3 linked regions of the Oryza sativa Japonica Group genome follow. The protein of the gene in region 3 interacts with the protein of the main gene of each other region in a pairwise test. Links are inferred from orthologs where the notes say so. Each region holds a gene or a part of one and is shown on either strand. Other genes may lie near its edges.

Region 1 (3,752 bases), on a different chromosome or scaffold from region 3:
ACACCACAAGAAGCAATGTGTTGATTTGGTTGAAACAAAAGGTAGCAAGACCACACCTTTGTACCCAAGTCGGTTAGTGCTATTGCCATGTTATTCTTGGCAATCTCAAAATTTGGGGAAATAGTCAAGCACCTGGGATACAGTAAAGATAAGTCAACATTAGTTTTCAACAGTACTTTGGGAATCAGCATAATTTGTATGAGCAGAAAAAATAAAGCTTACCTCTCGTAGCAGGCAATTGCTGCTTCTAATTCTCCACGATTCTTGTAAATAACTCCCATGTTGCAATAAGCTTCAGCATACAATGGCCTCTCCAAAGCAGCTTTCTCGTAACAAGTAAGAGCCAAATCAAATTGCATCATCTCCGAGTAAACCACACCAAGGTTGTAATAAGCAGGCTACATTAATCAGATGAACACATTAAAAAACTTAAATGGATAACAAAAACAAAATAATAGAGATCTAGATATAAATTATAGCTGGTGATGGTACCGCATAGTGGCTGTCAACTTCCAAAGCTTCACAATATTTTTGAATCCCCTCCTCTGTATTACCTGCAAGCTTCAAGCTAGTTCCAAGATCGGTCAACACAATAGCAAGAAACTCTGCAGCAGGTTTGTAGGAAGGATCTGCATTTCGAGCTTTTTGATAAGCCTGTTACAATTTCTCTCCATCAGAACATTTATGGATAAATATATCACATAATAAATACAGAAACAATGTCGAAATTCCAAGCTTTTCCGAGAGAATTTTTGGACTGACCAACTGTTTTGATCTTATATGTTAGATTGGTTAGGAACTTAGGATTTTTACAACCCTGCCAATTAATAGGGACCACTATTCTCCAAGGGGCAAAAGTATTACTCTTTTTGCAGCTCTAGCTGAGCCTTAGCTCATTCACATGTCATTCTATCCACCAGCTACGCACAAAATTTTACGGTGCTAATAAGTATGTCATGGAGATAATAAAAAATCTTCTGCTGGAAAATTCTTGAGTGATTATCTCGACAGTTTTATCTCTTGCATAGTATGCTTGATCAAGAACTTATCAAACTAGTTGTTTTGGTTTCTAGTTACAGTTCTTGGACACAAACCACTCAAGATATAACTTGGTGCTAAAAATAGGTCTGCAGTACCCTCAGAAGTCAGAAATTGGCAGTTAAGTCCCAAGTCTCATTGCCTGGTATTTTGGGGAGTGCGACTGTGCGAGGCACTTACTTCAGCATTTGAGTATTTTGCTTTCAGAGAACCACATATACAACATTTGAGACTTCTAGTGTTTATGACAACAAACTAAAAAGAAAAACTATCAGATTTCACAATAACGAATAAGCTAACAGTAAGAACAGGGAATCCACATGAAGAATCTTACGCATACCTCTGCAGCTTCAACTAAGTGACCCTCATCTTTGTATATCATCCCACAATAAGTGAGAGCACATGCATTCCCTGGGTCGATCCTGACGGCCTCGTTGAAGCACTCGATGGCCTGCATAGGTAGGCTCTGTGCCTGGAGGCAAATCCCTTTGCCAATAAGGGCCTCCACATTGGCTTCATCCTTCTCAAGGACATTATTGTACAACTGGAGTGCTTCGGCAAATTTGTTGCGGGAGCGGAGGATGTTGGCGTACCGCAAGGTGTCCTTCCCGTCCAACTGCTGTTTTGCAGGGACAGCACCACCATTACGTTCAGGAACAACGCCATTGCTCTCCCTCCCTTCGCTGGAGTCCATCCCCGGTCGCCCCATGGTACGGAAAGTAACCTACTTGTTCTATCTTTATCTTTTTTTTTTCTGCAGAAAGAATGTAACGATCATCAATTTTAGAATGGTTCGTTAGGTCTAAGATTTCAGTTGCGAATATTAGCGTGAAGAAAACGCGTCTAAAAAAAGGAGAAAAATTGGAGCCAAATGCGCGTAAAGACTAGAAAAAAAGGACGCGGCTTTGGACTACCACCGAATTGCGTAAAAGCCGCAGCTTTTTAGTAAAAACTCAGGGAAAAGAACACCAAGATTGCAAATTTCAAAACCCTAGCCAAAAAAAGAAAAAAAGAACTTTTGCAAACAACAGATTAAGAACACCCCCGGAAAGAATCCAAGAACAAGCACTAAGAATTCGCAGGAAACAGTAGGCGTTCGCAACGCAAGAGAACTCTTCCAGCTCAAGAAGCAAGAACCCTAATGCCGCGGCGGAAGTAGGAGGAGAGCTCACATTGGATAGGCGCAGTCCACCGGCGCAAGATCATGGCGCGGCAGCCGGCACCGCACCCCCCACCGCCACGCCGCAGCGAGGGGGGGGAGACCTACCCCTCCGCGCCGCCGCAGGGAGGGGGACCCGGTACCCCGCCGCGCCGTGCGGCAGCAGCAGCAGCGAGGGTTTCGACAGCGACGGCGGCGAGGGTTTCGGGAGGAGGGGAAGGAGAAGGAGAGGGGGAATTTTGGTGTTTAGCCCCCTCCGTTTATTCCTTTTTGCTTTTCGTATTTTTTTTCCCTTCTTTACAAGTTCATCGTGCGCTCGCTTTGCCTTTTGTACTGCCGACTCGCAGGCTATTGCAGCTGGGCTCTGGTCGACTCCTGCAGCTTTTTTTTTTTCTGCTGTATCTTTTGGCTGCCACCCCTCAGTTTTTACTTTATTCCTTTATTTACTTTCCTTGTGGGAGCAACAGTCTGCAATGATTTTTAGACAGTCCACTAGTAATTGCTTGACACAGAGAAATTAATTGTGGGCTGGTTTGGTTTGAGGTCTAAACTAGCCTTATCAATATTTGGCAATTTCAATAGTGTTTAGTGTCTATTTGGTTTGAAGCCAAATTTTGGCATGCCTAAGAAAATAGGCCATTTCAATAGTTAAGTTAGGCTATTTTGACTTCTATCCAAACACAACTTTAACTTGCCAAAACTAGCCATGCTAAAACTTACCAAAATTTGGCATTGCCAAAAATTGGTAAGGCCAATTTTAGCCACAAACCAAACCAGCCCTGTGTTTCTGAAGGGAAGATATGAGGATGAAATGTTGACCTCGACCGTGGTAAGTTAATCCCGTTAGAGCCTGCTCTAATAACAATACTGTATATCTTAATATAGTTTTATAGATGTATATTTATTAAGAAGCGTTTCTATGCTTAAAAAAGCTAGTGCGGATATTAAAACTTACTAGTAGTAGTCTAATTTAAAAGTTACAATTGACATACTAAACCTCATTAGCAATGGGCAATTTCTTCCCACAAAATTAACCCATATTAATCTCATTTGTCTAAAAGGGCCACATGGCATGTGTCGGTGACATGGGACCGGGAGTATCATGACTAGAGGCTTGGGCAGGAGCAATCACCCACGAGGCCTGACCCCCTCGGGGGGGTCGGGCCCGAGGGTGATGTGGCCGCCCCCCTCTTTGTCTCCCCGAGGGGTCGGACCGCTCCCGTTTCGGCCCCGAGGGCTGAGGCGCCCCGACCCCTTGTAGGTCTTGCGCCGCGTGTATGGGTTAGGTGAGCGCAGTAGGGCTCACCTAACCGCATTTATTGCGGTTTGGACGAGCGCGTCACGCCGCATGTAACGCAGTGCAGCGCGCTCGTTTATCCGGTCTGTGACCAGTCACAGACCGATCAGATCGTGGGTTAGGTGGCGACAGGCGGTCTGACACACGCCTCGCCCCATCCCGTCAGGATGAGAGCCTCCAAGCACTCGTCCCTAGCCGGAGCCGGCGTGTTACCTCCTGGAGATGGCACGTTGGTCCCGGTCAGATATATGCCAGGCT
Region 2 (3,752 bases), on a different chromosome or scaffold from region 3:
AGAAAAAAAAAAGAGAAGGCTGAATTGCTCCAATTGGTTCTTTGGAGGTTGCAAGGGCCAACCGACCATAAACACTATTGGTAAGTAAGAGCATTGTTAAGCACCCATGATTCATCCAGCTATTACTATCAACATACAGACAAATTCACAGATGTCAGGACAAGTTGTGGGCACAATTCTTGTGAGAGGAAATAATAAGGCTACCACTGTTTTCTCGCAAGCTTGTCTTCCATCTTTAGCAGTGTCACCATCTGGCATTAATTGGGAGCTGATCAATGGGGAGATAATCTGCCAAAACACCTACCTAATACCCTCAAGAAGGCTACAAAATAAGGGAATGTGCAAGAGGCAGAAGCAAATCCAAAGTAAAAGTGATGATTCTAGGACCATTTGGAGCCCCCACTGGTTGCCTACTAATGACGAATTAAAGCTATGGCCAGGGCTAATTGCGCACGAGATGGAATTTTGATTTGGACAATAAGGGTTAGTTGGTTAGGTGTCTCGAGCAAATTTGACAAATCGAAAACCAATTTAATTTGCAATAAATTCACTCTATTTAATATGGCACCTCTTTAGTTTTCACCTAATTGTAATGAAGGACTCATGAGAGAGAAATGCAATAAAATCTGCAAGAATTTCACCTAGAACATCTTCTGAATTCTTGCAAGCAATATGCTTTTGATTTTATTTTTTTTAAGTTGAGACAAAACAGTTGTTTCTAAAAAAAAGTATTTATAAAAGGGATTTATAGGAAACTTAGGATTCCTCAAGAGTGGTCTTGTGCCATCCATTTCATCTAGAAATTCAAGCATTAACCAAGAAGAAACAAAATGAAAGAATGTTGAAAGCATGGTAGTAGGCCAAAGAAATCAATGTGTTGTTGTTTGTTGATCTGATTGGATTGGACCGTTGTATCCTCCTTGGCTAGATGTTACTACCACAGTAGTAGTACTGACAAATTGAAAGCAGTGTGGGGGTATACTATACTATACTACTCCTATACCACAAGTATACTGAAACATGGATCTGTGTTGCTGGGTGTTACTATCTTTCAGGTAACTAATATAGCAAGTTCTCAATTACTGACCATTTTGTTTTTTTTTCCTTAGGTGGTAATTTTCATGGAAGTGAATGTTCCAAGGGATATGGGCTGAGAAGCAGGTAAAAACAATCATGAAGTAATCAAAGGAGGAATGATGAAGAAGAAATGGCATCTCTGGAAAATCTGTACTGAAGAAGTTACTTTGTTTACCTCTCTTGAGTAGGAGGAAACAATCCATAAACCCCCAAAAGTACTCTGGATAATAGCATATTTCAACTAATTATAAAAAAGAAACATTTGAAGAGGAAAAAAAACAGAATCAAATCTTCATATCTGGGAGCAGACTAGCAGTAAGTAGAATCCCCCTAAATACATTATTGGACCATACAACAATCAGTACAATAATGCTGCCATTGAAGATTCAAGAACTAGGTAGATGTTTCAATCAAGAACACAAATTTCACCCACTAACCACAATCCATACAAAATCCACAAAAGTAGTTTCACTCACCATATCAGAGGCAACATTTAACCCCAACCTAGCAGATTATCTATCCATACTAACTAAATCCCAACTGGTGAATCAAAAGAAAGAACTAAGCAAACTGACAATCAATCCTTACCCTGAGAGCACATCCTCTACCAACTTCCCTACAAGACAAGAAATCTAACAGAAAGATCTATTGCAGAAAAACAGACTAGCAGATATAGGAGAGACAAAATCTGACCAAAAACACCCAACATGTAGAGCCATACAGACCAAGAAACATGAACACAAAAAACATAGTAACAAAGCAACCCACAGAACAGCTTTCTTCAGAGCACAACACACATGGCACCTGCTGCATTACATCATAAGCTCTACACTACTGAAACTGCTCAAGAAACTGAAGGTAGTAGGATTCACTTACAGAAACGCCACTGCACCATCCTGCTGCTCTGTTCTTGGACCTCCCTGGAGCTCAAAACCCCAAATGATTTTAAGAACAAGAACAAGAAGAAGAAGAAGTCCCAAGAACACGAGCAGTGGTTAGTACTAGCAGTAGTAGTACCTAGCTAGAGAAAGGCAAGGACAGTGAGATGTGAGCTGAAAGATTCTTGTGAGCCTCCCACTGAGAGAGAGAAATACAGAGAAGACTCTCTGTATATGGAGGCAGTGGTGAGCAAGCTCAAGTAAAGGAGGTGGGGGACAAGGAGCAGCGAGAAATTAGGGCACGCGAGGGTGGTGGTGGTGGAAAAGACGGGAGGAGGAGAGGAAAAGGGCTGGGTGGAAAGGAGAGGCCTCTGTATTTATAGACAGAGAAAGAAACAAAGAAGCAGAGAAAGAAAGAGATGGAGAGAGCTAGACTAGTCACTGCAGCTGCAGCAGCTGCAGCAAACAGTGCATGCATTGCAATGCAATGCAATGCAAAGAAAGCACCATGGCCACACCCACACATACAGCTGCTGCTGCTGCTGCTGCTAAGCTTGAATGCACATGGACTCATGGAGATGGAGATGCTGGAGATGTGCATGGTGCATTGGTGCCATGGTCCATGCAGCAATGGATGTGAGGTGAGAGGTGAAGGCTTTGCATTTGCTTTTGCTTCTCTTGGAGATGACTGACTTCACTTCACAGTGTGGGTGTGATCAGAGATGGCACTGTTGGAGAGGGAGATGGGAGGCAAATGAATATCAATATCAAATATAATTTTCTGAATGTTTGTATATGCATTTTCTTGCAGCATGCATGCATGCATGGACAGGGGAGATGATCCATACTCTAGGTGAGTCCAGATGAGATGAGATGGTTGCCTCTTGTTGCCAATTTTTATTTCTTTACACTGTGCTGGTACAATGGCCGTGCATGGATGAGCCATCATCTGCATTATTTTTTTTGCTGCTGCTGTAGCACAAAACTGTGCTAGGAATTTTCTTGAGAAGATGCATGGTGAAATGGAATCTACTCCCACCAATCTGGCTGCCACCCAGCCCAGATCACAGTACAATGTTTGTAAAAAAATCTCCAATTCTCCACTGCTCAACAAGCCAGATGCATGAGAGTCGTCGTCCGATCGCAATCCAACGGCTTAGTAGTAAAACCATGTAAAATTTTATATCCTCTCATCGTCTACATGTTAACTTACTGAGCTTAGCCAAAATTTGAATTTAAAAGGTTATATTTTAAGTTGATTTTAAGATTTTTTTTCTTCTTAATCTATTTTCTAGTATCGTCTTTCAAAATCGCTAATAACACTAATATAGAAGTTTGAACATAAATTATTTTTGTCTGATTCATTCATAGTAGTCAATGAAGACTGAGACTTAATTGATTGTATTAAAATAATACTACATTTCACATGAAAACTCCTCCCTCCATTCTAAAATACAACGATTTATAGGTTGTTTAGCAAATACTAAATTTAGGTCCAAATATTCCCTTTTAATCACTTCGGTTATCAATTTTTAAATTTTGAATTGTTTGAATTTCACTTTCAATCATCTGATTGGCTTTGGAATCATTAAAATGATTGTAATCATGAGAATCAGTTTTGGAATGCTTACATTTAATATAAAATTTGAATCCTAAAAATCTTTACGTTTTAAAAGTGAGGGGAATAATAAATAAGCCTTTTTCTTTTGAGAGAGAAATAAAGAAAGAGTCTCATCGTTTGCTCATATCCTCTAATATATCAAAACGGCTTAATAGTAAATAAAAATAAATTTATAG
Region 3 (3,752 bases):
ACTATAAACATATACGGAGGAAAGAAATAAAAGAAAACGTGTATTGTTGCCTCTCGAACAAGAGCCATCTCTACGTATACTCCAACATAGAAACATTGAGGTTGTGTTTCGGGAGGTGAGATTGGAAACTCACCTCCTACGCACGTAAAATGGAGTGACACATTTTCTTATGATTAATAAACCATTTACTATTTTTTTTAAAAAAATAGATTAATATGATTTTTTAAGCAATTTTGTATATAAAATTTTTGCAAAAAAACATACTGTTTTTAGCAGTTTAAAAAACGTACGCGTGAAAAACGAGGAAAGTGAGTTGAAAAATTCGGAGAAAGAACTCAGCCTAAATTTGTAGAGAGAGAAAGAGAGATGAGAGGAAAATAGAACTAACCTTGTATTTTGGGACGCATGGAATAGGAGCTTATAGCAACTTGTTGACTTTACTATTAAATTTGCTCTTATCACTTTAACCGTGTAGATCCAGTTTGAATACAGAGGCTAAATTTTATAGCCCCATCGTTTGGCCTAAACAGCCAAAGAATAAGCCAAAATTTGAATTTTTGAACTTGATTTTGAAGTTGATTTTGAAATGCTTTTAACGTAATTTTTGTTAATGTTGGCTTTTAAGTCGCTACGAACAAATCTACAAAAGTTTTACTTATAAATTAATTTTAATTTTCTAATAAGCCAAATAAGTCATTTTGGGTAAAATGACAACCGATGGGAGCCTTAGTCAACTCTCTAAAAAAAGTAATCATTCACTTGCAAAAGAAAATGGATATATACCTCCACTTTAACCGCTTACCATGATAGTACCTCAAAAATCATAGGGACCATTTCGCAATAATCTCACAACACAAGGACTAGAACCACAAAATCCATGTCATTGGCCATGGCCATGGGGGGTCATGCATGACGATCACCAAGCATACATACATACATACATACATGCCATGCACCCCCGAAAATATCAAGGCCATGTCAGCAATCGCCAGGAGGCGATCCGCCAAGCCAAGCAAAGCCTTCCCACCCCCCCGCCGCACTCACGAATAAGTATCTCACCCCGCAGCTACCCCACCCGCCTATCACCGACACGTGGGCCCCACATCACCCGCCCCCACGTGTCGGCGACCCGGAACCGCCGCGTGGGCCCCCACCCCACGCGCGCGCGCGGGTGGGAAATAGCGCGGCCACTACCACCACCACCACCACCATCCCCGGAAAAAATCTTTTTCTCGCCTCTCCTTCCTCCGAGCCGTTTCTCTCCCTCTCTCTCTCCTCCTCCTTCCCCTGCGCCTCCTCCACCGCCCGTGTCGCCGCCGCGCGCGTCTATCCCCTCGCCGCCGCCGCCGTCTACGCCGCGTGAGGTCCGGATTGGTTGAAAGGCTGATCGAGGTAATGCTTTTTTATTTTTCCCGTGCGGTTTTAGTTTTTCTGTGCTGTGCTTGGTGGTTTTTTCTTTAAAACTATTTTTAGGCTGGTTTTGATGATGGCCTTTCTAAGGTTGTCGTGTATGGGGGGCGAGGTGGTTCGGGTGGATTTGTGGTGTTATGTTGAGGGGATTTTTGTTTGGGGGGAGAGAGTTTTGGTGGTAGATGCGGTTGGGATTTTGAAGACGTGAAAGGGAAATTAGTTTTGAAATTTGACGGCGAGGTTGAGCTGATTAGTATTGTAATAATTCGTGGCATCGGATAGATCAACGCGAGATGGATGCTTATTACTGCGAATTTCAGGAGGTTTTTGTGGTTTTTTTAGGCGAGTAGCGTTGATTCTAGCTGGATTTTGCTGCTTCGTGGAGGCGTTTAGATGTGGTGCATACGGCTGTGGATGTAATTTGTGCGGGGATAATTACTGAAAATTAATTCGCAGTAAGCTAGCTCTGCTTTAATATTTTTTCCCCTGAAACAGTAACAAGGGATCCCTTCCTCATTTCGTTAACAGTGGAAGTGAATACAGACACCAACCGATGAGCAGAGACACCTGTAATTAAACACCAAAAGAAGAACCTGTTTTGTTCCTATATATTTTCCATTTCTATGCTTTAGGTAATATACTTTCTGGTTCGGTGTCATAGTACCCGAAATAGAATCTTTGCTTGCCAAAAAAAGAAAGAATAACAAGATAGAACAACATCATTAAATTCTGTCTTAGACAATACATTTATAATCGACCAACAAAAACAGACCGATGAGTGACGTGGAATAACAAATGAAGTATAAATGTCACGAAAAACACATCTATTGATTTTGTGTGATAAGCCATAGGAGCCTACGAGGAACCAAGTGAATGGTTCTGTACACCACATCCATTAGCATTACCATAAATTTGCCTATTTCTATGATGCCTTCCTTAACATATTTATCGACATGTGAGCTTGCACCATAACTAAATGTTATGGTAAACTTTACCTTATAAATGATTGCAACATGTACCTTTTCATTTCGATAATTAAAAACGAGAAAGCTTCCACCTTTTTCCTAGATATATTTTTTCGTTTGATTATGAATTTAGTTGTACTTGACAATAAAATAATGCGCTTGTAAGATTATGCAATTTTCGTTGCATTACCTCCCTCTCTTTTCATTTGTCAGTTTTTTTCTACTCCCTCCGTTTCATATTTTAAGTCGTTTGACTTTTTTCCTAGTCAGACTTTGTTAAGTTTGACAAAGTTTATAGTAAAATTTAGCAATATCTAAAATATTAAATTGGTTTCATCAAATCTAACATTGAATATATTTTGATAATATGTTTTTTTTGTGTTGAAAATACTTCTATATTTTTCTATAAACTTAGTCAAACTTGGAAGAAATTTCAGTAAGAAAAAAGTCAAACGGCTTATAATATGAAACGGAGGGAGTAAATTTTTTTTTGCATTAATTAAAATTCATGTATTTTCCTCCTTTTTTGGTTTTTGTTGTGCGATATATTACAGTGTAGAGACTCTGAAGCTCATATGGTTGGCATTGGTTGATATGATAACGTGTCACGTTGTGAGATGCAGACCCCCGTTATGGGGGTTGATTGAATGAAGTGGATAGCACTCTTATAACTTTCTTGCTCGAAGTTTCTTGATACCAAGGCAAGTAGCTTATAAGAAGATTTGGACTTTGGTGGCATAAATGGATGAACTAACTGGCGGCTTCAACGTGGTGTTGATTACAGGTGCTTTTATTGCTAACTGGAGCAGTTTGTGTAGTTTCTTTCTTTCTCTTTGAGAATTCTCTCAGTTTCTTGGGCAGGCTCTTGAGCTACCAAGTATGTCAGCTTCAAATGAGAAGTGGATTGATGGGCTCCAGTTCTCATCACTGTTCTGGCCCCCACCACAGGATTCACAACAAAAACAGGTAACATTATTCCTATTTGATTCTTGTTAGAAATTCTATATGTTGAACATACTTGCCTCAATGGGAAACTTGGTTGCGTCTCCTCTCTGAAGGCACAAATTCTGGCCTATGTTGAGTACTTTGGCCAGTTTACAGCTGACAGTGAGCAATTCCCTGAAGATATAGCTCAGGTACTGTATCTCTAAGCATGTTTAGTATCTTCTGTGATAAAATCTTTCTCCAGTGTGTTAACTTTTGCATTCTTTTTCTTGCATGCTTGCAGCTAATTCAAAGTTGCTATCCATCAAAAGAAAAGCGCCTTGTAGATGAAGTATTAGGTAATTTGATCCAGTGATCAATACATGTTCCACAAACAATTGAAGAAAGAGTTTGACATATTTTTCTCATATTTCCAGCAACTTTTGTTCTTCA

Evidence for each region.
Region 1: the proteins of protein GIGANTEA (region 3) and protein O-GlcNAc transferase interact in binary tests that used the Arabidopsis thaliana proteins (3 or more experiments, as listed by UniProt). The link is inferred for Oryza sativa Japonica Group from reciprocal best matches to the Arabidopsis thaliana genes GI and SPY.
Region 2: the proteins of protein GIGANTEA (region 3) and protein rough sheath 2 homolog interact in binary tests that used the Arabidopsis thaliana proteins (3 or more experiments, as listed by UniProt). The link is inferred for Oryza sativa Japonica Group from reciprocal best matches to the Arabidopsis thaliana genes GI and AS1.

Annotation. Positions count from the first base shown.
Region 1 is NC_089042.1:28,137,670-28,141,421, reverse strand, and holds the start of protein O-GlcNAc transferase, read right to left. Parts: upstream 2,500-3,752; 5' UTR 2,211-2,499; intron 1,793-2,210; 5' UTR 1,748-1,792; coding exon 1,379-1,747; intron 655-1,378; coding exon 493-654; intron 399-492; coding exon 223-398; intron 133-222; coding exon 57-132; intron 1-56. UniProt on the Arabidopsis thaliana protein: Probable O-linked N-acetylglucosamine transferase (OGT) involved in various processes such as gibberellin (GA) signaling pathway and circadian clock.
Region 2 is NC_089046.1:24,248,397-24,252,148, forward strand, and holds the start of protein rough sheath 2 homolog, read right to left. Parts: upstream 2,304-3,752; 5' UTR 1,954-2,303; intron 1-1,953.
Region 3 is NC_089035.1:4,346,534-4,350,285, reverse strand, and holds the start of protein GIGANTEA, read left to right. Parts: upstream 1-1,205; 5' UTR 1,206-1,392; intron 1,393-2,929; 5' UTR 2,930-3,159; exon of another isoform or gene 3,160-3,236; 5' UTR 3,237-3,254; coding exon 3,255-3,341; intron 3,342-3,433; coding exon 3,434-3,511; intron 3,512-3,603; coding exon 3,604-3,658; intron 3,659-3,736; coding exon 3,737-3,752. UniProt on the Arabidopsis thaliana protein: Involved in regulation of circadian rhythm and photoperiodic flowering. May play a role in maintenance of circadian amplitude and period length. Is involved in phytochrome B signaling. Stabilizes ADO3 and the circadian photoreceptor ADO1/ZTL.